4 linked regions of the Styela clava genome follow. The main gene of each other region encodes a partner of the protein of the gene in region 2 in a complex. Links are inferred from orthologs where the notes say so. Each region holds a gene or a part of one and is shown on either strand. Other genes may lie near its edges.

Region 1 (6,347 bases), on a different chromosome or scaffold from region 2:
AAAGATAAAAAGGCAACAATAGCATTGCAATAATGCTAATCCAGCAATTTTTGTTAAATACTATGACAAATCGTGATCTTCAAAAATATAACTTTTCTATCTATAAGACACAAAAGTTGATAATCAAAATGTCAGTACTATAAGACGATAAACAACAAAAAGAACACATTTTCGCCTATTTCGTTTTGAATCGGATATTGAAATTTGCAAATACATAAATTTCATTGAATCTTATTTATTAACAATCGCACGAAACTCCCTACCTTTTTCTTTATCTACTCTTATAACAACGACACATTCATCACGACCGACACGAATCAACTTATTGATAGATCGAATACGACGTCTCGACAATTCACTAAGCAATATCATTCCTTCAATGTTATTGTATTCAAGCAATTTAACGTAAGCTCCCATCTCTGCGATGGATCGAACATTCACCATGACAACATCTTCAACCTCCGGAAACTTATCCTTATAATATCGACACGAGATCGGCATTTTGAGTTAATTTGCTAACAACTATATAAAAATATACAATTCAAATAAAAACAATTAAAAACATAAAACTTGAATAAAATTCTCTTATATAGATTAACCAATAGTCAAGCATATGATACACTTTTTCATATTTATCCCAGGGACTCAAATCATATGGCAAACTGTGGCCTTTTGTCTGTTCAACAGACTAGAGCTAAGTCAGTGGTTATGTGACGCAACCTGGAAAAAACAACAAATATGTCTACAGTAATTCTTTTGCATATAGACATACAAATGGAATCTATGAACCGAACAATATAAACATATCTTCACATTTGAAACAATTCTTAATTAAAGAGACGTGACACTTCTTTTCGAACAATCGATACATAAACAGTTTGTACAATCAAAAACTATACATCGATAAAATTTTCTGAATGAAACTTTTTCAACCAAATTCATTTCAATAAATATTTAAAAAACAAAAATTATAATATCACAGAATAAGAAGCTGACAAACTATTCTTTTTTGAATGATTTCTTTTCCGTAAATATCCGAGGACTATCCGGGTCAATTACTGCTTCATCCCAAGGTCCATAAATATTATTTTTATGAATTTGAAGAGACATCAACAATAGAGGACAGATGAAATTAACAAAAACAATTAGAAGTAGAAATAAGAGACTTATATACAAATGAATAAAAAGTAGTAACAAAAACGTTGCTATACTCAATAAAACAGTAAAGGGATCCATAAACCACGGAGTTTCACGCCTTAATGTTCTTTGTAACATGGGCCAAAATCCAAAAAGAAATAACGCTAAAATAACAATAGCGAATACATGCTCCGAAGAATCCAATCGAGACGCAAGACATACTGACGAAAACAATGACATATTTAACGATACAGCTCTAGAAATTGGCGCAGCATCAGACCCATAGTCATGAAACAGTAAATGTCCTAAAATCATTAGAACACTCATTGCATATATCGTATCAGTACTAATAGTGTGCGTCAACGTTTTTAATATCGGAGATAAAAAATCAGTTAAACACAATACAACAACTGCTGTTTTAGCATTACTAAATAACGCTTTCCATCTCTCACCCTGGCTCGTTGTTAAATATAAATACACGCAGAAGCCTATTACTGAAACAGGCATCAGCCATTTTAACATAGTATATGGAGTATATAGGCCTTCATCGAGTAACCACCAGCTAACGATTAAACAGCTGACTGTACAAAGTTGTTGAGTAATGACTTCAATTTGACGAACGAGATCCCAATATTCATATTTTCTGATGTAGATGTTCTTTCGCATTTCCGTGAGGAAAGACTCATCCACATAATTGTCTGGAACATTTTGAACTTCGTACAATACTTTTCTCCATTTTTTGCGATTAGTTGTCATTCTTGAACACGCTTATATCAACAGCCAAAATCAATATTACTCTATGAATAGGTTAAAACTGAAATTTATAATAACAATGGCTCAATACCGGTACTGTAATAATAAGCACATACAAGACAATCTATGAACAAATTTATCTGAGGAACCTGTTCTTTTATCTGTTTATAGCCCAGTGGCGGGCCATTACAAACAAAATATCGTATCGTACGGTCTGACGGTACCGGTACCAGTAGGTATGGATTAGTTAGCCGGTACGGTAGGTACCGGTATTTGTTCTACAGTTTCAGATACCGGTACCGTACATGGTGGACGATAAGATAAGTTTATTTCAACTCCATACTCAGCATAAACGGCGATAAAACGGTTGATTAAAACAAATAGAACTCGTTTAGTCATACAGCGGCACAGACTAACCACAAAGTTGAGCGAATTTGCTCTATGATGGTTCACCATGATGGGCGATGGCGCAAACACCAACACGAAACACCAAAAACTCTACAGTCCACACATGTTAGGGGTGAATGATGCTCGAGATCCGGATCCGGCGATCGCTTCTTATTTACACCGTAAGCGACACCCAAATCTTTTGACAAAAAAATCCGTCAACTTTTTTGGGTCTGGCGGTTACCGCAAAGAAACACAATTGTCATCGCATTACAAACCCAATCGTCATAATTATGCGCGAGGGGATTGCCAGACTTCTCACCCTCGCAAGTGGTTAAGGCTTCGCGCCATTCAAATACGCTCAAATCAATTACCTGATGAACTCTTCCTATTCCCGATTTGGGTTATGTTAACGCTGACTCGTCAAATTTCTTCTTCCTCTGGATTTCATCCTTTTTTTCTGTTTGGCACCCCATCACTGGAAAGGATAGGATTTACATATTTATCCTGGGGAAGAGGAGAGCCGATAAGACGGCTCAATCATATGGCGGACCACGGCCTCTCGTCCGGTTACCAATCCATGTCGAGTATGGAACTTGTTAGCTAGTTTATTTTTGGAAGCATAGACTTAAATGCTCTTTTGCAAATTTGTGTACCTACGACAAAAAAATGATAATTAGTAGTAAACAATTTATTTGACCATTTACTGAATATTTGCGCCTACAGATTATAGAATAAACTAAAAATGTCGTTTCGTGGTGCAGGGGAGTGCAATAAACCAGTCGTATCATCGAGCAGCAACACCTTTAAAAAAGTCTAATCTAAGTTGGGAAATAAAAATGGATTTTCATGCGACCTGACATTTCCACTCGTTGTACTATAAGAAAACAACTCCGAGCACGACATGCTGGTAACCATACTGCGGCGAGATGCTGCGTTCCCCTCTTGCTGTCGAAATGCCGTCTGAAATTTGAGTGTCCCCAAGAAGTTGTATGATGAGAACGTTTGAGCAAAGATCGAGAGATGTGCTCAAATAAATTGTTAATCGACATATCACATGTAAAAATTGGATTTTGAATTCGACAGCGATAATGAAGTGTTATTTGTGATCAGCTATTTACGGCAGTACGGTTACATTTTGAAACCTGTAGATCTCAATCAAATATTTTCCGTGTAGTTCGCGCAACTGTTGGTTGCTTGCAGTATTCCACTAACTACGCCTATGTATCTAGATCTTGCAAGTACTGTACGGCTATGTCTGTTTACCTATATTCAGGGTTGGACTAAACATTGATCAAAATAAGGTCACCACGAGAAAGGATGCACCACAGAAGTTTTCACGAACTGGCTATCTCAGTGTTTAATGTAATTCGAGTTGGTAAGACGATTCAGACCTCAATATTGTCTCGGTTTAATAACTTGATTATTTTCTCTTTTTCAAGTACCAGCTTACACCTCTCTATAAATGTTTGTAGGCAAGAGAATTATTTTCAAAAAATACCATGTAGATTAATCATAACTTAGCTTTAATTAGTACCGTGGTAGTGAATACTGAAACATATTCAGAAAACATGGAACACTAGTTTTCATTATTATCATTTTATATAAATAGGGCCCAAAGTATTAAGTGCCTGGGGCTCCTAAGCGGCATGATCCGGCCCTGCTTATATTAACCAGTTGTTTTGGTTTCACTCGCTTCAATAAGACCAGTCACCTCCTGCACGTGTTAACAGCAGCATCGAATATTTAGCGAAATGGTCCAAAGTCGCACTTTGTGTTCAATATCAGTACTCTGATAACAAAAAATTCCTGTTGAATCTAAATTAGATATTGGAACTTTGGACGTCGCTGCACAAAATTCGGGAACGGTCCCACGCGGCGCCCCTTCATCGGGAAAACCTTGCGTTTATTTTGTTATCGTAGTTTTGTTGTGATTATATCACTAGTAGACCGCGAGCCGAGGCCCTGAAAAACGCCTAGAAAGTGAGTTTCGTAGCGCACATCAGGTAACTACCTGAAAATGATTTTAAAATGTTCCCTAAAAATTTAGTAACAAATATTGCCTTGTTCCCACTTCCAAAAGTTGCACGTTTTACGGAAAAGACGCTTTTACTACAAGAAATATGCGCTACGATCTGTCCTATATTCTCTACATTTTCGGCACTGAACAATGACTTCTGCATGACGTAACAATTGAATTAAACCAGCTGTTAGCGAGCGGATGAATATTAGTTATTTCTGCTCGACCTTGCGCTGAGTTGGGCAGGCTTTCCATAGCCCTGTTTAGTTATTATTAGTTAAGTTATGCTAAGACGTTGTTGAAAAATGTATAAGTAAATTATTAAACACTTGTAGATCCTTACCACGGATATGGGCCGCGAGACGAAACCATGAAAACGCCCAGAAAATGAGTTTCGTAGCGCACATCTGGTAACTAAATAAATTCTTCAGTTTTGTGTGAAAACGAACATAATGAACGCATTACAGCTTGTTCCACAATCCTGGTGCGAAATTGAATATAAGAGGTTCCCGGAAATTCAATAACCATAAGTTTACAACGCATACATAAGAACTATACAATTCGAGAGCCCTACAGCACACTAACACAAATGTATTCCTGTAATGTTTTGCCTGACCAAAATCGGACTTCCTCAGTCAATCATAATTTATTAGGTAGATTACGAAAAATATGGCATACATGTAACCAACAACAAAAAATACTTTAATTGTGTGACAGGAGTCGGGAGTGACCTCGAAAGCAGCGACACCAACAACGCTGATTCACATTTGAGAATAAATTTTATGTAATAACCACAAGCAGTTTACAACAAGAACAGCATAAAAAGCTACATCCATTTTATAGAAGCTATCAAGTATCAAACGTATTTATTTTTAAGCAATGAAGTCACAAATTAACATCGTGAGCACGAAAACACAAATAAATCAGTTATTTCTCACTTAGAAATTTACCGCAAAAGTCAAGAAAATTAAATGAATGTACAATATGTACATAACATAGTGAACAGAAATATTACAATTTACAATTAATCTTTTTTTAGTTTATGTGGTTATGTATTTGAACAAAGGCAATAATATTTCTAGAAACAGGACTACGACACTAACAAATGTCCGAAAAAAAAAACAAATGTATGATACTTATTAAATCAACTGTAATATCTAATTCACTTTCTTCTGAATTGTTTTCGAAATCCACTATCTCAAAAATCGACTTTTCCTCTATAGGTGTACTGTGATTTCTGCAGTCAATACAAAAACAAAAATCTGTGCAATTTAAGTTGATTTTGGCACACTTTCATAAATTATTTTGACTATTTTTCTTTGCAGTTTGCCAACTCAAGAACTGATTTGAGGGCCACATGCTTCTTCAGTGAATCATTGTTGGGTGGAGAGTATAATCCTTATGTTTGACAGTGTTAAATAGACGTGCCCTGGTATCATTTACATTCTTCATATCCTCTTCAAATTCCTCAGCTTTATTTATTAATACCTCGTTAACCTCAAAAGATCTTCATAGTCGAGGGAAAAAAATGAATTGAAAATCTCAATGAAGTCTCCAACATGAATTTGATGGGCAATTCCAATTGCAGAAAAGTGCTAAAGTATTTCAATATGAATAGCCCATCTAAGCTGTTTGCAACTATTATGATTCTCATATACCTTTAAGCTTCAAGACTTCTTGTTTAATCCATTTTATAGCACTGATAGCAGCAGGGATCAGAGCCTGCGTTAGGTCGGATTGGTGGAACATTGCCGTTTTCTTTTGTAGTACAGTATCTAAAATAAGGAAGAAAATAATATTTGGAGCAGCATGATTTTAAAAATACCCCTAAATACTAACTAATACCTTGAATACATAATGCATTTTATCTGATGTACTAAATGAGCGTATATATGCTCATTGCATGTTCTACAGTCCAGCAGTGTTTGCATACCATTACTAGACTATATCTACACTAGATTTTGATATATCACAGTCTGAAATGTCCTTTGACAGTATGAGTATGGACTATAGACTACGGTATATTTTGAAACATCAACTGTTTGTCTAC
Region 2 (6,984 bases):
TTGATCCGCTTTATACTTCAGTTTATCTCCATTGCGCAGGAGCGTGGAACATTTCATAGATTTGATAAATTTCTGAGGTTGGAAGATTCTAACAAACATCGAATACCATGGAAAATCTGATATTATGAAAACTACTCCACTGATAGCAACCTGAAAATAAAGATAAGCGTTTATAGATTCATTTGTCCTTGTCAGTGGACAGGGGCCCAAGGATTTCTTGTCTGATCTTTTAGCAAGCATGCAATTATCATTTACTACAAGCATTATTAGGTATTTGAGCAGGCATTATAGTACTTTTGAAGTTAACGTCTACAAATGCACATCCTGTGGGTTTGAATCCCATTGCAGTTGAACAATCTCAAATGCTATATTGAAAATAGCAGCTTCTTACTGGTCACGAGATAAAGAAAAAAGGCTCTCTAGAAGTATGTGTACCAATATGGAGGTGACTAGTTTTGTTCGCCTACTTTTCATCAAATTGTGTAACGGGACGGAAGCCTAAACACAAAACAGTCCCCGAATTCGTAATAGAACTAAAATAAGGAAAGTCGGAATAAAATCATGGCCTAACCAACCCTAACCTGGTACACATACTACGGGACTAACGGGGAAAAATGCTATGGGAATCAAATTTAGATACAAACAAAATAACAAACCTGAATAGCTAGCACAGCAACACGCAACAACATAAATATTCCGTAGTACAGAGCTGTTGTGGGTAATAGAAAGAGTAATACTGTAAATAAAAGAGTTCCGGCAAACAGTTGGTCAGCTCGTTGTCCAGATTCTTCTAATGAATCAACCCTTTTCCTTAGTGGATTCCATTTTTTCCCTCTAAAAAGCCTCCAAAGTGACATCAGACCGGCCACCTGAAAATTAGCAAGTAGCAATTTAAAGCGGTACTCCCGTAGTATGTGTACCCAGTTAGGGTTAGGCCATAATTTTATGCCGATTTTCCTTATTTTAGTTCCATTAAAAGTTCGGGGACTGTCTGTGCTAGCCAAGTGAAAATCCCCCTGCCCATAATAATCAGTTGTACACAACTTGATGTAAAGTAGGCGAACAAAATTAGTTAGCTCTATATTGGTACACATACCGGTACCTACTTCTGAAGCGCCATAAAAGCCTCATACTCGATACCGTTACTGAAAGCGAAATATTGAAAAAGGTTCTCCCATACAAAGCTCCCATCAGATATTACTTTAAAATGACGGAAAAGTTTGAGCAATCCTTAACGAATAATCAAACCCAACAGTTTCTAAAGTTTTTTTTATGAAAGTAAATATTACTCACTTGAAGACCATACAGACGTCCAGCATAGACATAAAAACAATAAACATGAAAGCTCAAAGTCGAAACTGCATCAGCGATGATAGAAAGGAGAAATGACAATCCCAAACAAGATGTCATCAAACAATATGTGATCAGATAAGGAATGAACTCCATCATCATTTTCGAATATTCCAGCCACAATCGAACATGATAGAGGAAAAAATGACCTGAAAAAAAAAAAACCTAATTGTTCCAGATTTTTTTTAAAATTAGAATAAAAAACATCTTCATACATAAACAATAAAAATTATTTTACTAACGCACCAGAAAGTGACCAGTATTGACATTTTGTTAATATTATGAAGTATAAGGTTATATTTATTGTTATTTTAGCAAATGATCATATGTGCTACCAAAAATGCCACACCGCCTCTTACCCAAGAATTGGTTTAGTGGATGGTTCAATTTCAAGCCGGCTGGAAACCCCATTAACCATTCAATCAATTCTTCAACCTAAAATTAAACATACAAAACATTATATTTCAATTTAATTCATTTTCCAACAGAGATATAAAATATATAAAGTTGTCATACAAATCTGATGCTATTGCCAGTATAAAATAATTTCACTATAATTAATTCAAATGTTTTATGTTTTTGAACGTCGGGACAGAAGTTCAAAAAGTCTACAATGATTTATACGTTATTGGTTTTAAATCTTTCTCACCTGATTCGCTATCGACTCCACATAAGGTAAAAAGGCTTGTTTTGTAGTTCTTGTGGAAGGCAGAAAATCAAAATAATACAGACTCCCTAACAAACCCACGCCAAAAATCATGTCCACGAATATTGTACTAAGTATGTCTTTATCTTCATACTTATTGTGAGAATCAAATACTTTTTTTCGACTTCCAAACAAGTGCATAATGCTCTCTTCAAATTGCGAAAACCTCCTTTCTGCATGAGAAAGTAAGCTAGACAACTCAGTTATACTCTGCCATATACGTTGGATACAGGTATTTGACTTGTAAATACCTGAATATATTTTCTTGAAGTAGTACAAAGGGAGATGTATAGAGCCAAGTAGCACAGTGATAAATATTGTTAGCAGGTAAATTATAATGCTGAGTTCCCTTTGCATGCAGCAGTGTGTTACATGAACGCCATCATTTGAATTTATTCCATATTCATATGAAAGAATCCCATTTTTGCAGGCAGAAATCAAGACAAACAAATTTTCAATAGAACCATTGGAATTGTGTACATTCAAAAACGAATCTGAGCAAAGTTCACCATCCCAGATGTCTTTCTGGTTGTAAATTACTGCCATAACATCTGCATTAGTTTTTACATATTGATTTGTTAATAATATCGATGATGCACTGATATTTTGTATTTCAAGATCCTCAGCTGTAAAAACGGTTTCATCATCACTGTTTTTTGACATCTTTATGGAAATCCATGTCTTTTGTCCAAAGAGTTTTGGTAGTATATGTTCAAATTCATGTTTCTCCTTGGATTCATTAGAAATCCAAGTTCCCAAGGGACGTAGTTTGACAGTATCATGCAGTTTTTCATATTTAGAAAGGTAAGCATTCAAACTCTTTGGTGTAACGGGAAAGTGTACAACGGCAACAACATATAATACAGTGTCGTCATCATTTGAAGCACCAATCAATATTCCTGATTGTGAACGGATGCAACATTCCGGTAGAAATATTTCCTTCAACATTTGAACTCAGATTCTTGCATCTAGATAAAGTTTCACGCACTACTGTTCATGCCCATTCAGTAAAAACAACAAAAAAAACATGATTATGCCATTACGACACTGATTTAGTGAATCAAAAGCTTTATTAATGTTTAAAAATTCTTTATTCAATTCAAATGTTGTGGATGAATTGAAAAAAATTTCAAAATCTCCATTAACTTATATTAAATCTCACAATTGGATTTTAGAATCATACTATCTGGATGTATACAATCTTATCAGTATCTATTTAAGCAACATGATTGCTGATGAAAGCAGCAATATATAACTTCAAAATAAAAGTACTCTGCAATTATAGACTAGATCCACATCAGTATCAGTAAACTCAATTACTGACTGAAGTTTAAATTGAATCAGAAAGCAATAATGCTTGTTACGCACAATCTCATTTAAAATTTCACTACTCATGATAAGGATCTATAATGAAATATATAAGGGCTCTTCAAATTGAGGGTCCCGACCCCCGATGGGTTACGGAAGGGCTCAATGGAAGTAGCGGTATTTTTCATTATTATCAAGTACTGACAACTTACATTAAAACGAAATATCGATCAAATTTGGAACCAGTATTGAGACCCAAGCAAGATTCGACTTTTTGTGCGAGAATATGCAAGCACATCGATCTCATTAAAGGCATTATAAATTTTATTACCGGTACTTTATTTTAATATTTTCGGTATCATTAAATTTTACATTTTTTTTATTATAGTTACTGAGGGTCGTGAAGAAATTTTGCCATGCCAATTGGATCGTGATAAAAAAGTTTGAAGAAAACTGCATTATAAAACATATTCCAATTCGTCCGTTGAATAGACATGTGTGAGACTTTGTATCTGGCTATAAACCGTCATGCACAAAAAATTAACAACAATATGCTATGATAGTCCATTTGAATCAGGTTTTGATGGTTGAACTGAATTATAGTGCTCGCCCAGCCCCAGCTCATGTCTATGATATGTTAGTATTAGTGGATTTCCTTTATATTCCTCACCAATTTTTACAGTGGGCATGTCTGCTTGTATCACATGAATTGAAGTCTGTAAGATATGGGACAAAGCTCGCAGTTCCAATTGACCACCCCAAGCTGTAGTCTCTGCAACATCTTTGCAATACTGTTTGAATTCCTCAGGAGAATAACAATCGCCTGTATCAGAACTAGTTAGAAAAGGGGAAAAATCGTCTTCATGAGAAAGCATAAATGTTGATGTCAATGTTCTTAATTCTTTCGGTGAATGTAACATCATCAAATTCATCTTCAGCTGATCTACAACTGCATAATATAGACAATTACCATCAGGTATCATGGGCTTCACTTTTAGACTCATTTTTGTTAATATGGTCTTGATTTTTTCCTCTTCTGCATATCTTTGTGTGTTAACATAGTCCTTTTCAGCTTGTGCAGCAATTTCAGCTTGTTCTTTCACTTTCAAAGCTTTTTTTTCTCTCTTCTTTTGCGCTTTACTAACTCTTTGTTGAGAAGGTTCTGATCTGCCAGGTTCATCATTTTCATTAGTAGCCTTTGAAGTATCGGTCATATCCTCACTATTCATTAGCTCCAATTTTTCTGTCAATTCAGCAATTTCTTTATCATGTTTCTCATAAAGTTCACTTTCAAGAATTGCAATTTGTGCTTTCATCTCTTTGTTTTTCTTCTTATCTCCTTTCGGAACTCCCTTTTTCAAGGATTGAATTTTCCCTTGCAATTCTTTTTTCTCCAATTTATGCCTGGCAGACAATGCCTCCTGTGGATCATCGATATCCTCGTTATCTGACATCTTCTCTTTAAATAGAGAACCCAGAAATTACAATCCTGAAAAATAACAATATTGACTATTATTATAGGCAATAAATTATTTCTTACAGACTGCAAAATGAGAATTTTTTAAATATTGATCTCGATAGCTACAAATAAAAGGACCTGGATTGAATATCACACTCAGAAGAAAGGTGCACATCCTAATAATAAGTGATAGACTATTACCCTTGAATTGTTATCTATGTTCAACCAAATATGTCAAATGGACTGACTTGTAGTATTTGTGGCAACGCACAAAACACTATTTCAAAAATCTGTATTTACAAAGCAGCACATATTTATAACAAGCAAAATGAAAATGCCGATTGTCAAAAACCAACAAATGTGGTCTTTTGCATTAGCGGACAAAAATGAACCTTCACACATTTAGAAAAATAGGATGTTTGATAGTAAGCAAAAAGGGTCATAGTCTGGTTTAAATCATGACTTAATGCTAAAAAAGTCAATATAAATTTCATCTCAGTCCTACTTCCAGTCCTAAGCAACCTTGACTCTTGTCGAGAAGAATATAAAAAACAAATGTGAGTGAAAAAACTCGTTAGAAGTCCCTGATATAAATTACAATTAACATTGCATTAACCTACGCTAAAGCGTATCATATGGTTTCATAGTAAAAAAGTAATGGATTTAACTTGAATCACGACCCAATGTTTGTATAAACTTATTGTCAGCCTGGATGCATAATTCTTATTTACAAATTTGTGCAGGAATATGCAGGTATGATTGAATTCATAGTTGAAAAAATACATTCTAATCATCATCGCTGGATGTGTTACTATCATCACTTCCATAGGCTCCGAGCAAACTAAGCCCAGCCGGTTTGGCTAGTACAGTATCTTTTAGAGTTTTCTCAGTTTTAATCACTGACATTGTTTTGGTTAATTCTGATTTATCCTCAGATTGATGATTAAAATTATCTATTTTTGGGAATTTTTCGATCGACTTTTTTACTACAATACCCAAAAGCTGGGCCTTTTTCTTTATAGTATCCTTATTAGAAGGAACAGAAGAAATACTTTTTGTGCTTTTATTAGTAATTTTTGTTTCTTCTGATGACAATAATAAATCGGAAGGGGCATTAATTTCTTCTTTCACAATATTCTTAACATCAGATTTGTCATCTTCATCATCACTATCATTCAGTCGTCTTATTTTGTTACTCCCAAAAATAGTCTTCATTTCTTCCTCATCTTCTTCTGCTTCTCTCTTTTTTTTTTCTTCCACTGTTTCTTGATAGCTCTGTAGCATTCCTTCGTAATTGACCTAGATACACCAAGAAATTCATATAAATTAGAAATATTCACTCTCCTCATTGCACAGGGATGGACAAATCTAAATAGTAATGTAAAGTTTTACTTTGTGACTTCAAAATCTGTGATACTAAAATTGCTCAAAATAATAATTTTTCGAATGGGACATTCTAAATTAATCCAGAAATCAATTTTAAATTATTATAAATATTTAATTTGTTTTTTAACATTCTAGCCCTCGACAAACATGAAATTTTATAAACACCTCATTGTATGCTATTTATTTAAAAACTGGGAGTCAAATAAAATTTACAAGATACAAATATAATATACAATATGGAATAACCACAATCTTATGAAGTAACAAATTCTTCAATGTCATCGAACATCATATTGAAAATCCTACCTTAGCATGTCGTTGATTGAGATCTCTTAATTCTTCAAGATTTTCCATTCTCTCCATTTCTCTTTTTGAGTCCCTTGTTCTCATTTCAAGCAGTTTCATTGGATTTCCTTCATCTTCTTCCCTTTGTTTCTCGATTTCTTTCTCTTGTTTTTGGAGAAGTTTTTCTGCCTCAAAATTTCGAGTGGCACCATGTTCAATGACATAATCTGTATTCTCAGGATCAGTTTTGAATGTTATTTCAGCAACACATTTTGTGCATTTGATATAAAATCGAAAAATTCTCAAACCAAGATAATCATCATCTTGGACAGTTTCTTTTCTTGAATTAAATTTTGTTCCTTTGTAAATGTAATTTCCACAAGTCTTACACCGCATATGAAAAGGTGCCATAACACGTATTACATATTGTCTATCTTTAGCTAACTTGAGCTTGGGTATCAATGAAGGATCATAATCCGGGGGATAGTAT
Region 3 (7,500 bases), on a different chromosome or scaffold from region 2:
CCCTGTCGCATAGCGTGACTTGTCACGGCCTAATTAATTTTTACGATAGGCACACTAATATTTTGCTGAGTGGGATTTTACAGCAAACTTTGTGGGACAACACTAAAAGGCTGAAGAAAGAAACGGACGAAGTGGCGGAAAAACGGAAGTTGAAGTGTTCCCAAAGGTGAAAAATTGAAAAACACTAAAAGGCTGAACACTAAAACGAAGAAGTGGAAGAAATTTCTTCCGAGGTGGCTGAAGTCACTAAAAAGCTGAACACTAAAAGGAAGAAGTGGATGAAATTTCCTCCGACGGATAGTGAAGAAAATTTAATATATTAGTTTAATATTTATGAGACAATGTCCTCGTGGATTCGTTTTATGTTAATTTTTTATATGGTATTCTCAGTTCGAGCCTGGCGAATATTGAAGGCCATGACATTCTCGTTATATTGTTTTTAATTTTGATGTAATGTGCAAGCAAATTGCTATATATATATACTCATTTCTAGCTGTTACTGCCGTATAATGAATTTGTTGCGCCACAATGGGTGGGTTACGGCGAGGCATATTTTGCAAATAGATATCTTGTTTTTCAAGACGCGTGAAGCTGATTTTGTTATCAAATCAATTTTTCCAGTCAACAAACCTTGTAATTCATAATATGTTTGTGGCCCACCTCAAAATGGCTCTGAGGCTTACCAGTTGGCCATGGCACATTGGTTAAGAACCAGTGGTCTAACAGGACTTCAATTTGACTAATACATCATTATTTCAAGTCTTCGTGCGTGAACTGCTTGCAAAATTTTAAAAATAGATATTAAGTTTAAGGAATGAAATACGGAATCAAAAATTAATTATATTCGGGCACAATACCACGGCAATCTATGTACATAGATGTGTGGTCAACTGCGCGATTGTTATTTATTTTTTTATTCCTATTTTCGTATATACAAAATACAACGGCGATCCATGGACTTAAAAATGTGTGGTAAACTGCCCGATTATAATTAATTCTTGATTCATATTTTCGTATTTATAAAATAATAAAAGATATATATGCGGACATTGAAGTGCCCGAATATAATTAATTTTTCATTCGTGTTTACGTACTCACGAAAAAATTGTCGCCAATCAGAAATATAATTTATACTTTATCCCGCTTTTTGGCAAATAATTTGGATAATAGTTGGTATTCAAACTTTTACTAGGATGATTTTGTGTTGCGCAAAATGTTCAAATCCATGACCGATAGCACTATTTTAAATGCTTGCCGTATTAATTTAATTCTGATAACGTAACTCATGGTATATGAAAATATATAGCAGTAATCTGCAAACATGAAATGCATGGTAGACAACGTGCTGTTGATGACAGTTATTCCATTGTTTATTGTATGCAAATTCCTTTATATAGGCTACTATAGATAAGCCTCAATTACTTTATTTTATTTTCGAATGTATTCGAAATAGTGAACTATTCGGTATTGACCAACCATCCCCTTAGGACTGAAGCAATTTGATGCAACTCAATTGTGAAAATAAGCGCAGGAAACAATTCTATTGTACCATCTTAAACAGTGCTGCAACAGTAACAGCATTGGTTCCCGCAGTCCCACCCCAGAATATGTGACTGTGGTATTTCACTTATTGTTATATTAAATTAAGGCTGGACTCATTACAGATTTTTCATCTCTAAAATATTAGTACAATAATTTGTGACTCTGGGTTATACATAAAGGAAAACTTTGTACACACAGATCTCTGTCATCTCTGTGATATATGGGCTCATTATTGCGATAGAGCTTGCTAAACAAGGAGATACCGAGCATATATTCATGCTAGCAGCATAGTGTAATAAGACAAAGACAGTTTAATTGCATCGGGATTACTATAAATAAGAAATGCTTTCAGGAATTTGCTCGAACACAAAAAAGTAATTAAACCATTTAAAATAAACCTCCAACCGTAAACCTCCAACCGAAAACTGTTCTACCACGTGTTCCCTCATTTCGTTTACCGCTACTCAAATGGAGGTACAACAAATGGGAATAAAATAGCATAAATATAAATGTCAGGATAAAAAAACATGATCGTCAATTACATGCCCGGCGAATGAACTTGTTCAGTAATAGTTCTCTTCAAATATATACGCGAAATATTTCACTCTCAACGGAGTTTAAATTAAATTTCAATCAAAATTAAATGTTTTCTAGAAGTCGGTATCTGATCGTTTATCAATTCATGTCAAGGCGTACCATAACTTAGTCGCAGAGAAGGTGTGCTGTTGCAAATTATTAACAAAATCGCAACGAAATTTCGGGTATACGATCCATTTAAATTTGCGTGTGATAGAAACTTAGGTCATTCAGTGGAAAACTCAACTGAGAGATTGAAGGAAATTAATTACCCACACAGCACGTCAGCATCTCGAGTGATGATCAGGGTGTGTTGCGCTGAACTTGAAAATGAACGAAGGCAGATCAATAGAAGTAAATAACGAAAAATTCATTTACATTCCCGTCTGGCAATTGGTGTTATTTGGAGTGTTTGTTCTTCTTCGCTAAACGGCTCTCTTTCTTTCGAATCGCGTAAATCGGATTCGAAATGAATTGCGATTTGAATCGATTCAATTCATAAATCTAAAAGTGGCATGCCTACTCATCAGTCCGCTTTCAGGGTCTTCATCCAATCTCACTTCCGTCGGGATATGTTTTGGCTATTTAACTCTACTAATGTTCGGTATTTTAGTGACTTCAACCGCCTCAAAATCGATAGGACAAAATATCATCTACCGTAGCCTACTTCTTCCGTTTAGTGTTTAGCTTTTTAGTGACCTCAGCCACCTCACCACCTGTCGAAAGAAATTCCATCCACTTCTTCCTGTTAGTGTTCAGCTTTTCAGTGACCTTCGCCACCTCATTATTCGTCGAAAGAAATTTCATCCACTTCTTCCTTTTAGTGTTCATGTTTTTAGTGACTTCAACCATCTCATTATTCTTCGGAAGAAATTTCATCCACTTCTTCTTTTTAGTGTTCATCTTGTTAGTGACTTCAACCACCTCATTATTCGTCGGAAGAGTCGTTGGTCGGAAGAAATGTCATCCACTTCTTCCTTTTAGTGTTCAGCTTTTTAGTGACTTCAACCACCTCATTATTCGTCGGAAGAAATTTCAACCATTTCTTCCTTTTAGTGTTCAGCTTTTTAGTAACTTCAACCACCTCATTATTCGTCGGAGGAAATTTCAACCACCTCTTCCTTTCAGTATTCATCTTTTTAGTGACTTCAACCGCTTCATTATTCGTCGGGAGAAATTTCATCCACTTCTTCCTTTTAGTTTTCATCATTTTAGTGACTTCAACCACCTCATTATCCGTCGGAAGAAATTTCATCCACTTCTTCCTGTTAGTGTTCAGCTTTTCAGTGACCTCCGCCACCTCATTATTCGTCGAAAGAAATTTCATCCACTTCTTCTGGCAACCATTACAAAAATATCAATATGGTGTGGCAGATAATTTTTTTTTTCTTTTCTAGTATTTATTTATTTTTTATTTTTTGTTTACTGTATAGTATACCCTAAATTTATCGCGTTTTATTCTTACTTAAATAACTTCTCACTGGTTGTGTGTGTGTGTGGCTGGTGGGTGCATGTGAGCGTGTGTGAAATAACTTAATAATTTTAGGTGATTAAACACGTACCACTTCCTCTTGGCAAAACCTTCCATCTTATATTTTGTACGTTATAAACCTTATCTAAGGTTTTGTTTGCTCCCCTGATTTCATAATCAGTTTTTATTTATTTGTTTTTATCTGTCAAATGTATTGTTATGCTGATTATGGAGTCGAAATAAACTTATACTTATATTCTTCCTTTCAGTGTTCATGTTTTTAGTGACTTCAACCACCTCATTATTCGTCGAAAGAAATTTCATCCACTTCTTCCTTTTAGTGTTCATGTTTTTAGTGACTTCAACCATCTCATCATTCGTCGGAAAAAATTTCATCCACTTCTTCCTTTTAGTGTTCAGCTTTTTAGTGACTTCAACCACCTCATTATTCGTCGGAAGAAATTTCAACCATTTCTTCCTTTCAGTGTTCATCATTTTAGTGACTTCAACCGCTTCATTATTCGTCGGAAGAAATTTCATCCACTTCTTCCTTTTAGTGTTCATCATTTTAGTGACTTCAACCACCTCATTATCCGTCGGAAGAAATTTCATCCACTTCTTCCTTTTAGTGTTCAGCTTTGCTTTTTAGTGACTTCAGACACCTCACCACCCGTCGGAAGAAATTTCATCCACTTCCTCCTTTTAGTGTTCAGCCTTTTAGTGTTTGGGAACACCTCAACTTCCGTTTTTCCTCCACCTCATCCGTTTCTTCTTTCAGCCTTTTAGTGTTGTCCAACTTTGTGTAGTATTTATTATTAATTACATATATTGCTGCCGTCGTCGGTTTTTAGGTGCTTTTGCCTCTTTTATTTATCAGTTCATGCCTCAACCAAGCCCAGGTCCATCTCCGGAGAGAGCGGCGTATGGATTTGTCCTTTATCTAGCAAGCTACATTTTATTCGGTGAGTGAGTCAGAGTTATTTTTCAGTCCTGAGATTGCATAACTGCTGAACTGGAAAGGGTGATCAAAAGAGATGTAAACAAAAATATTTGAATCAGTGAATGAGCATTGCTAATTTAAAAAACCTAGTGCTTCTTTGTATCATGTACCGGTATTACGATATTGAAGGTTGCTAAATGACAATACAATTTTCATGTCTGAGGATTTTATAGTGTATTCTTAATAGCCACAGTTTGTTTTCTTGGTTGGGCAAATGTAATAATCTGACTGTAATAATCTGACTTCCCACAATATTCACATGTGTATGGTTTTAATGTAGTATTGTTTCTAGTATGAGATTTTATATATGTGATTTATGTAATGGACGCTTTCCACATTTCTTAAAGTGTAACGCTCATCTTTACAAGTATTTGGGAAATACTATGACAATTAAAAGCAATTCTCTCCAGATGTCTGTTCAGTATGAATTTGAAAATGTCTTTCATTTCCATAGGATTTGCCTTTTGCTCTCCTCTCTTACGCCAATACAGTAATTGGCTTAAGACTTTTTTCTAACAATGTCTCATATATCTGTATATGCTAATTTAAAGAAATAATTTAGCAAAGGCCCCTTGACATTTCATATATCTGTGTGGTTTTTCAAAGATATGAACTGCTAGCTTTTGAATCTCTAATGAGCAAATGACCATCGTTTACTTGGTTGTTGTTTTTTGTCCATGTTATCAAGTGAATATACCACAAAGAAATAATAATGACAATGATGTATATTTTTCAGCACTGTTTGTGATATGGGCATATGTTCCTGATGAAGTCCTTCACAGTATTGGCCTAACTTATCTTCCTACCAAGTAAGGATGAAAATTAAAATATATTTGCTCATTAAACTTTTTAAAATGTAGGAAGTCAAAACAAGTCTTTATGAAAATACTTTGAACCTAGTAACATCTCGCTTGTGACTCATTCCTATATTTCATGTTGTGATCAACCTGTTTTTTTGTAGTTGTAGCTGAGGAGAAAGTTTGAATGTGTATGTCCTAAAATCAAACCTTTTGTACGGAGCAGGTTGTTCAAATGTTAATTGGGAACATGTATCCATCCCTCTTTTTGAGTTGTCATTATGTAGTATAAGCTAAGTATAGTTAGACTCTGGTTCATCTAATTGCCAGGCGCTGAAAATAGATGTATAAGTTTATACTGCTGTTTTTAGGATTTCTTTGGCCTGGGAAGATATGATACTTGTATAATTCGTATTATGTTATTTTTCTCTCATAGTTATACACAAATTTTAAAAATATATGCGAGTACAAAAATGCTTTTTGTATAAGAATTTTTGATCAGGACCATCAAAATATAAAAAAAAGTACTCTATATGGTACTCGGATGATGCATAGAGTCATTTTGAGATAGATGAACATAATAATATGCAATATTGCCCAATGCATTTATTCATTCTTCTTATTGATTTATTACAACCCGATTTTTTCAGAGCTTGGGCAATAGTATTACCAATCCTTGGTTGCATCGGTGCAGTGTCTATTCCTGTTGTATATTTCATCATCAACATACTTCATACTCAAGCATTGGAAGAAGAAATTGAAAGTAAATATTATTTTACCTGTTTTCTGACTTATATTTCCAAGAATAGCTTTAGAAAAATAATCTGGTTTTAGTGGTTTATAGAAATTGAAGCTTAACATTATCCCGATATATATTGTTTTAATGTTTGATTGTATTTTAATACTCTTATTTATTATTAGTTATCATTTTATAGGTAAAATTAGAAGACTGATCGACCTGTTTTTTTTTTCAAATTAGTCATAGCTTGAATGTTTCATTCGATAAACACTATCTTATATTGATTAGTTTGTCATATCATGATTGCCTAGTGCAACAAGCAATACAGCATGATTTAAATCATGATTTGGTTTAACGTTTAGAAAGTATTCGAATATAGGAAACTTGTTTTAGTAATCCATTTTAATTTTTTCATCAATTTTAATAAATTGTTTGATATATTGTAATATTTTTATATTTATGTATATTCATTTTTATTTATTCTAGTACACTCTAAATCAAATATCCCAGAACCAACAATACAAAACTTTGACTTGAGTTCAGGATCTGTTCCACCAATTGTTGAACTGGATCTGGCAACTGTTTGTCGCCATTTGAATCTAGGCAAGGATAAAGTAAGATGGGATTGTTTTGTTTTACTCAGCATTTTTAGTTTAGAAATCATGTCTTATTTTATACTTCTTAAACAAGGTTTCTGTACTTGAATGCTGCATCATATCAAAGGAATAAAGTGTGTCGAAATAGGCAAAAATGGAATGCATTGAAAAGGGTTGTTTTAAGTAGTTCAATTTCCAAATTTCATCACTGATCTTGTCTGGCAGATCAGAAGAAATATGTATTTTATTGTTAAAGAATACACCACAAAAACTTTATGATTTTTGCCAAATACTTCTTCTTATAATGTTATTACAAGCTTCTGGAATTGCTGTGTACACTTGGTCAACAAAAGTAAATCCATGCATTTACTAGGTTTCTTCTTCTACTGTATTCAGCTGTCACCAGCTAGTTAAAGAAATAATATCAGCCACGCAAGTGTAAAACAATTTTTTCATTTTGTTTTTCCTAGAAAAATAATTGAAAATTATGAGTGAATCTAAAGAAGTGAAGTTACTGAATGTTGATTTTGAAAAGCCTTCTCAATTTACTGGTAGAAGTGTGGAGGATGGTTTACCAGTTTCAGTTCCTTTGCATGATTTGGAAGATTTACTTTCATGGAAACCTGACGATGCAGAAGATAGTGGGCAGATATTCTCTGTAGCTACAGTTCCTTATCTTGGGAAAAATATTCCAACTGGATCAACAAAAACCCTTGTATGTCATGACATGGCTGGTGGATATTTGGATGACAGGTAGGCCTATATATATCATCGTTTCA
Region 4 (6,204 bases), on a different chromosome or scaffold from region 2:
TCGAAAAATAGAAAGGAATTGACGTTAACGATACCGGTACAAATAATTCGAATTTAGACTAATTAGTATTGGTTTTACATGCGATATGTCTGCCATCAATGGGAATCAGTGGGAAACGAACGCATTCGCCTTCAGTAAGTAGGCTAGCGCTGCGCTACAAAGAAACAACAGTAACGAGAACATGTTTGTGTATTATGCTGGAAAAGCGGGACGGAATGCTTTTCGCTTCGTTTACCAACTTTAAATCGCTTGGTGATGTCACAAAATATGTTCCAGAATTATTTAGTTTTGTCGCAATGTCTATCTGGCACTTCTCTCACATAACATTATAACATAGCATGTTCTTAAACGTAATGGCTAATGCTATCCCACATTTAGCTATATATATATAGTTTGATATCTGGTAACAATAATTAGCTTATTCTTGGAATATCGAATTCTCTGGGAGCCATATGTCGTCACCAAAAGAGCCATATATGGCTCGCGAGCCATGGGTTCCCGACAACTGATATAGATAGTAAAAGTAATATTATTTAAAACAAGAGAGCGCAAAAATACAAGAACCGAAAGTCAAATGACTACATGGGCTGAATTTTATTTTAAAGAATTGTAACATGTCATGTGACAGTCTGCTTGTGAATTGCATAAACATGCTGAATCGAGGGTAATAAGATGAGCTTCGTAAGATTTAAAAGAGAAAATAAAAGCCATTTAAGAACTTCTTTAAGTACCGAAAATTTAAAATCCTTTAGTTCAATTATCAGCAAAGTGATATTTTTAAAAGTACATAAAAATATCTCAAGGTCAAGAAGCAACTCAAACCTCAAGTGTTAATTAGGGCTGGGCACTACGAATCGAATATTCAAATCGGTTCAGAGCAAAATTTCGAATCGCCGCCATTTTGCTTTTTCCCGCCAATGGTTAAGGTGAATTACCCAATTTTTTTATTATTGAAGCCCTATTTTTTCAATACAATTCTGACATGTGACTATTATGTGTAGTGAGTTATTAATAAATAAGTGTCTTTCTTCATGGTGTGTGAAGTTGTGAACGTTCCGCAATCTGTCTTAGTGATTTGTTATGTTTTCGGTAATACATTTGTTGACGACCAATTACAATAAAAAAGTAACATATAATCACATATCTCCCTTTGACTCCCAAGTATTCGAGATTCGATTCAAAAAAAATATTCGACTGATTCTGAAATCATCAGGTATTCCAAAATGCCCAGCCCTAGTGTTATTTTCAACAACAAATTGTAGCTTAACAATGTTATCAATAGTATAATTTACCGCTTGTATATGACAGTTATAAATATGATGAATTATAAAATATTGATCAGGAAACTAACTAACTTGACATGCTGTTTGTAATTCTTGTGCTGTCATGTTATCAATGCCTTCTCTTTGAATAAGAGTGTCATCAGCATGCAACCTATTCAACTTCATTTGCAATAAAAATCGAAGTAGATTGTTACTTCCCACAGCAGGTACTTGGATGAGCCTGAAAATTGAATGAATAATAAATAGATGATTCCATTATCAAATTCAGTCTTCCTTGAAATTAATTGAAAATATCCAAATGTTTGTTTATTGAAGCTCAAATTTTGTAGCCAAATGGATCAATATATCAAAATATATTTTTCTTGTATTCTGAAATTCAATTTTAGTGAGTCGAATACAAAAATGCATTATTTACTTAGTTTGAACGAAATAATATTTTTGAAGCCGAGGAAATCGCTTATAAAACAAAATAATAATTTGCAACTTTTACAAAGATCAAACAACTTGCATTTCAATTGTATCACTATTCCAATTTAGCGAAATCTTTCCATTTATATTTTTTTCCTATAGAATTTAAACCGACATCTTTTTTAAACAATTTTTGGTTCTGATTTTAGCAATAATATTTTGCAAAACTACTTCAATTAAAAGACTGGTCTCAACAACCTTTCAGTCAATTTCTCAAAAATGCCAATAATGAGTAAAATTCAGCAATATTTATATACTATCACACACAAAATCGTATTACCTGCACAATGCAACAAGTTGAGGTCTGGTCATGCTGTCCAACGTCAATTCATCTTCAAACAATTTAGCATGTTTCAAAATTTCTTCATTTGTTGGCTCTTCATCAGTAGTTCGAATTTTTTGAAAAAAAGTGGCAAAATCTTCTGTGGCCTGATTTTCTTTTGACATCTTTTTGCTTCGCATAGCAATATCTTCTACCGTATCTTGCATAAACTTGGCCATTTGCAATTTAACAGACAGTTCTTTTCTTAATCGAGCTTCACGAGCTGTTTTATCCTCAAAAGTAGAAGGAAGAAGTCTTGGGAAGAGGCTGACCACCACTGGCAATGCAAATTCAGCAAACGGGATAATTATGAAAACACTAAAAGGAGCAAGCCGAAATATATCTGATACCGCTCTTTTGAATTGATTTCGTTCTCGCCGAACTACTGGTTTTCCGTTCAATATTTTCCACAGTGTTTTCCATGCAATTCTAATGTCCAATCCAAGAAGTCGAAAACCATGATAATAATGTTTCAACTCCGCTACAAATCTATCCCATAACGGTTTCTTTGGGGGAGTGGCTACTGAGCTAGATGTGGTTTCTGTCGCTGTAGGTTTTTTATCAGAAGAAAGATTTTTGTCCGCTTCAGTCTTTTTCAATTTAGCCTTCAATGTATCTTCTACTTTTGATTTATCAAAATTAACACTTGCAGCATGGATATTTCTTGAGATTGTGTGGTGTAGACCAATATTAGAATGGTGCCTCAAAAGGATGGGATAGGAAGAAGATATAGAGTCAACTTTGCATCTGTGGTTAGATGATGAAAATATATAAGAAGTGCAATCAGGTCTTCTCCTGCTGTAACTGAATGGATGTATCGAAAACCATCCCGATGCAGAATGTGTTGAATATTGGTGACATTGTTTAGGAATTCCATACAAGAACTGAACTTTTCTTTTATTGTTTAAAGTCAGTGAATAAATTCTTTGTAATTCTTTAGTGCCATGACGTAAATGAGACATGTTTTATCCAGTTGTTTCAGATGTTATAATAACGCACAGTGTCACAATATATTAGCATGATTCCTATAAGCGCTTGTTCTTAACTAATTTTAACTGAGTTGATAAATTAAAATTTTTATGCTAAAATATATTTCACTTATTTATTCAAATTAATGTAAAATAATACAGATAACAGTGCATTGCACAGCCAGACAGATTTTGACAAATTTTCCAAGGTGATTTTGGCCCAAACAATAAAATTTTGGTGGCCGATAAAAAAGGAAATTGTTTACATACCTGTCAAATAAAATAATTGTTCAGTATATGACAACATATATTTGTAGATAACAATCAAGAAGGTTAATTTCACATGAAGTAAAACTAATCATAATAGCCTATAAAAAACTTGGGTCAGTAACAGTAGGTCAAATAACAATAAGGTCCATTCCCAGTGCAGCAGTGCAGTGATGATTCAAAATCCCTTGCAATTTATAATAAGCCTTTGAAGTAGTTTTAAAATATTCATTAACATATAACTCTAACGTTATCAATTATTTTATGATGATGCCTACTTCTGTATTCGCGTTGTTGATAGAATAATAGAACCCCAAATCAACATTATCCTGTTGGCCAACGGAAAGCTTGGTTCTTCTTAATAATTTAATATTTATTATAGAGTGGTCAAATTTACTGATTTAATCAACAATTTAGATTATCGGCCATAGCCCACATCCATAATAGACTATATAACACCAATCAAGTTGTGTTATTCTGGTATTAAGCCTATTATGTTAGTAATATTACTTAGTGCAATACCGGTATACCGTACCTGCTGTGACGACCTTGACCTATGATTAACAATGTTATGCATGGCGATGATTAAATATCACCGTGCTACTACTGCTGCCGTATTATACAGGCAACATTGGTTAAATGAAAAAGGGCGCCTCAGACGAATTCAGGTAGGTACAGCGATAATTTGTAATGTGAGAAGCTTTTCACGGCCGGACAGCAAACCTGATGCTAAAGGTCAAACGCGATGACACATGACATCGCGTGGTGGCGTGTCTTGTTATTAATGGCGTGATTCAAATGGCACTGCCACTTGCGTTTCTCATCTAGAATCGTTGACGTTGAATACAAACGTATGCGGTAGAACTGGGAGTTACGGTAGTTGTTGAAGTTTGATGAAGCTTGAATACAAACATGAAACACTCTATTGCAATGGTTTGTGATTTTTTCTATCCTAATGTGGGAGGAGTGGAAAGTCATATATATCAACTGTCGCAATGCCTTATTGCAAGAGGACATAAAGTAATTATTATCACTCATTCTTATGGCAATAGAAAGGGAATACGTTACTTCACAAATTATCTTAAAGTTTATTATCTTCCATTTGTGGTCATGTATAACCAATGTATTTTACCTACATATTTTGCAACTATTCCCTTGATTCGAAGTGTTTTGTTACACGAGAGAATAACCATTTTACATGGACACTCTGCTTTTTCTGCATTAGCTATCGAAGCTATTCACCATGCACAAACATTGAGAATTAGGACTGTGTTCACAGATCACTCCCTCTTCGGTTTTGCTGATGGATCCTCCATTATCACAAATAAACTTTTAGAAATAACACTGACATACACAAATCATGTAATATGCGTCTCTCACACAAGCAAAGAAAATACTGTGTTACGTGCCGATATTGAGCCAAAAAAAGTATATGTTATTCCAAATGCTGTTGATGCAACAAAATTTACTCCAGCAACTGAGAATCAAGTCAAAGACAGGATAAGGATTGTGGTCATAAGTCGACTCGTGTATAGAAAAGGAATGGACCTCCTTGCCTCATTAATACCAATATTATGTTCTCGGCACAAAGATATTGATTTTGTAATTGGTGGCGATGGTCCCAAGCGTCTTCTTCTTGAGGAAACGAGAGAAAAATTCCAGCTGCATGAAAGATTAAAGTTTTTAGGTGCTGTTCCTCATACAGATGTGAGAGATGTGCTGACAACAGGGCATATTTTTCTAAACACATCCTTAACTGAAGCATTTTGTATAGCAATAATAGAAGCTGCATGTTGTGGATTGCAGGTTGTGAGCACGAAAGTTGGAGGAGTACCAGAAGTACTTCCTCACGATATGATAATTTTGAGAGAACCATCAGTATCTCATCTTATAGATGGTTTAGAAGTCGCAATTTTAAAACATCGAGAAGGAACTGAAATGGATCCTTATGAAATGTATAATCGAACATCGGTTTTATATACATGGCCCAAAGTTGCTGAAAGAACAGAAAAGGTTTATGATTCAATGGCAGAACAACCCTTACTTCCTCATCATGAACGATTATTACTGTTTAAAAAATGTGGTCCTGTCGTAGGAAGATGTTTTGTTGTAGTAGGATATGTTTCACTACTCATTTGTTGGCTTTTGGAATGGATGTTTCCTATCAATATAAAAACGACCCGAAACGTCTCAGATAATTTAAATAAAAAGTCATCAATGATGAATTAGTTTATATATCTGTTGTGATTTTGTTTTCCAAATTTTAATGTTTTTATTTATTTTTCTAAATTAAAAATCTCTTATTTTGACATCACAGTATGCTTTTGTGAATAGTTAAAGTTGCTCTCGCTTGATTTAATGATTCATTATATTCACTTTATAAGCAGTTCCTAATTGACTTTAAAATGGCAAGTCTGTATAAACTTGAAAATGGCAGCTGGTCCGATTTAACATATAGAGCAATGTGCATCATTATTAGGGACTGGATGTTTTTTGTTTTGTCAGTTTAATCCATACTTATCTTCTTGTGGCAAACTTCTTTGAATTGACCGGAACAGAATTGAATATCAATGTCAACAATGAGGTTTGGTTTCTGTATCAGGAGGTTTTCATCCAAAGTATTAGTAAATTGGGCACTCCAGAAGTGTGTGTACCAATATGGAGATAACTGATTTTGTTCGCCTACTTTACATCAAGTTGTGTAAATGGACTTGGCTAACGCAGACAGTCCCGAACTCGTAATAGGACTAAAATGAGGAAAATCGGGATAAAATTATGGCCTAACCCTAACCTGGTACACACACTATGGCAGTACTGTAAATTGTTAGTCCCCTGAGAAGCAGCATCATTGATATATAATGGTTGAGCTGTATAATTTGTCAATTCATTCCCCTGC

The links.
Region 1: phosphatidylinositol N-acetylglucosaminyltransferase subunit Q-like (region 2) and phosphatidylinositol N-acetylglucosaminyltransferase subunit C-like share a complex: the UniProt entries of both Homo sapiens proteins name them as parts of the glycosylphosphatidylinositol-N-acetylglucosaminyltransferase (GPI-GnT) complex. The link is inferred for Styela clava from reciprocal best matches to the Homo sapiens genes PIGQ and PIGC.
Region 3: phosphatidylinositol N-acetylglucosaminyltransferase subunit Q-like (region 2) and phosphatidylinositol N-acetylglucosaminyltransferase subunit P-like share a complex: the UniProt entries of both Homo sapiens proteins name them as parts of the glycosylphosphatidylinositol-N-acetylglucosaminyltransferase (GPI-GnT) complex. The link is inferred for Styela clava from reciprocal best matches to the Homo sapiens genes PIGQ and PIGP.
Region 4: phosphatidylinositol N-acetylglucosaminyltransferase subunit Q-like (region 2) and phosphatidylinositol N-acetylglucosaminyltransferase subunit A-like share a complex: the UniProt entries of both Homo sapiens proteins name them as parts of the glycosylphosphatidylinositol-N-acetylglucosaminyltransferase (GPI-GnT) complex. The link is inferred for Styela clava from reciprocal best matches to the Homo sapiens genes PIGQ and PIGA.

Annotation. Positions count from the first base shown.
Region 1 is NC_135250.1:6,447,790-6,454,136, reverse strand, and holds phosphatidylinositol N-acetylglucosaminyltransferase subunit C-like, read right to left. Parts: upstream 1,994-6,347; 5' UTR 1,894-1,993; coding exon 1,000-1,893; 3' UTR 523-999; downstream 1-522. Other genes in the region: eukaryotic translation initiation factor 2 subunit 1-like, read right to left, coding at 264-501. UniProt on the Homo sapiens protein: Part of the glycosylphosphatidylinositol-N-acetylglucosaminyltransferase (GPI-GnT) complex that catalyzes the transfer of N-acetylglucosamine from UDP-N-acetylglucosamine to phosphatidylinositol and participates in the first step of GPI biosynthesis.
Region 2 is NC_135255.1:3,220,400-3,227,383, reverse strand, and holds the start of phosphatidylinositol N-acetylglucosaminyltransferase subunit Q-like, read right to left. Parts: upstream 3,010-6,984; 5' UTR 3,005-3,009; coding exon 2,000-3,004; intron 1,786-1,999; coding exon 1,710-1,785; intron 1,500-1,709; coding exon 1,294-1,499; intron 870-1,293; coding exon 657-869; intron 151-656; coding exon 1-150. Other genes in the region: deubiquitinase OTUD6B-like, read right to left, coding at 3,919-4,818; splicing factor YJU2-like, read right to left, coding at 5,610-6,122, 6,516-6,984. UniProt on the Homo sapiens protein: Part of the glycosylphosphatidylinositol-N-acetylglucosaminyltransferase (GPI-GnT) complex that catalyzes the transfer of N-acetylglucosamine from UDP-N-acetylglucosamine to phosphatidylinositol and participates in the first step of GPI biosynthesis.
Region 3 is NC_135253.1:15,186,931-15,194,430, reverse strand, and holds phosphatidylinositol N-acetylglucosaminyltransferase subunit P-like, read left to right. Parts: upstream 1-4,469; coding exon 4,470-4,551; intron 4,552-5,325; coding exon 5,326-5,398; intron 5,399-6,036; coding exon 6,037-6,149; intron 6,150-6,611; coding exon 6,612-6,739; intron 6,740-7,117; coding exon 7,118-7,135; downstream 7,136-7,500. Other genes in the region: cytosolic endo-beta-N-acetylglucosaminidase-like, read left to right, coding at 7,209-7,474. UniProt on the Homo sapiens protein: Part of the glycosylphosphatidylinositol-N-acetylglucosaminyltransferase (GPI-GnT) complex that catalyzes the transfer of N-acetylglucosamine from UDP-N-acetylglucosamine to phosphatidylinositol and participates in the first step of GPI biosynthesis.
Region 4 is NC_135252.1:4,508,928-4,515,131, forward strand, and holds phosphatidylinositol N-acetylglucosaminyltransferase subunit A-like, read left to right. Parts: upstream 1-4,027; 5' UTR 4,028-4,201; coding exon of another isoform or gene 4,202-4,220; coding exon 4,221-5,537; 3' UTR 5,538-5,695; downstream 5,696-6,204. Other genes in the region: mitochondrial proton/calcium exchanger protein-like, read right to left, coding at 1,356-1,503, 2,032-3,035. UniProt on the Homo sapiens protein: Catalytic subunit of the glycosylphosphatidylinositol-N-acetylglucosaminyltransferase (GPI-GnT) complex that catalyzes the transfer of N-acetylglucosamine from UDP-N-acetylglucosamine to phosphatidylinositol and participates in the first step of GPI biosynthesis.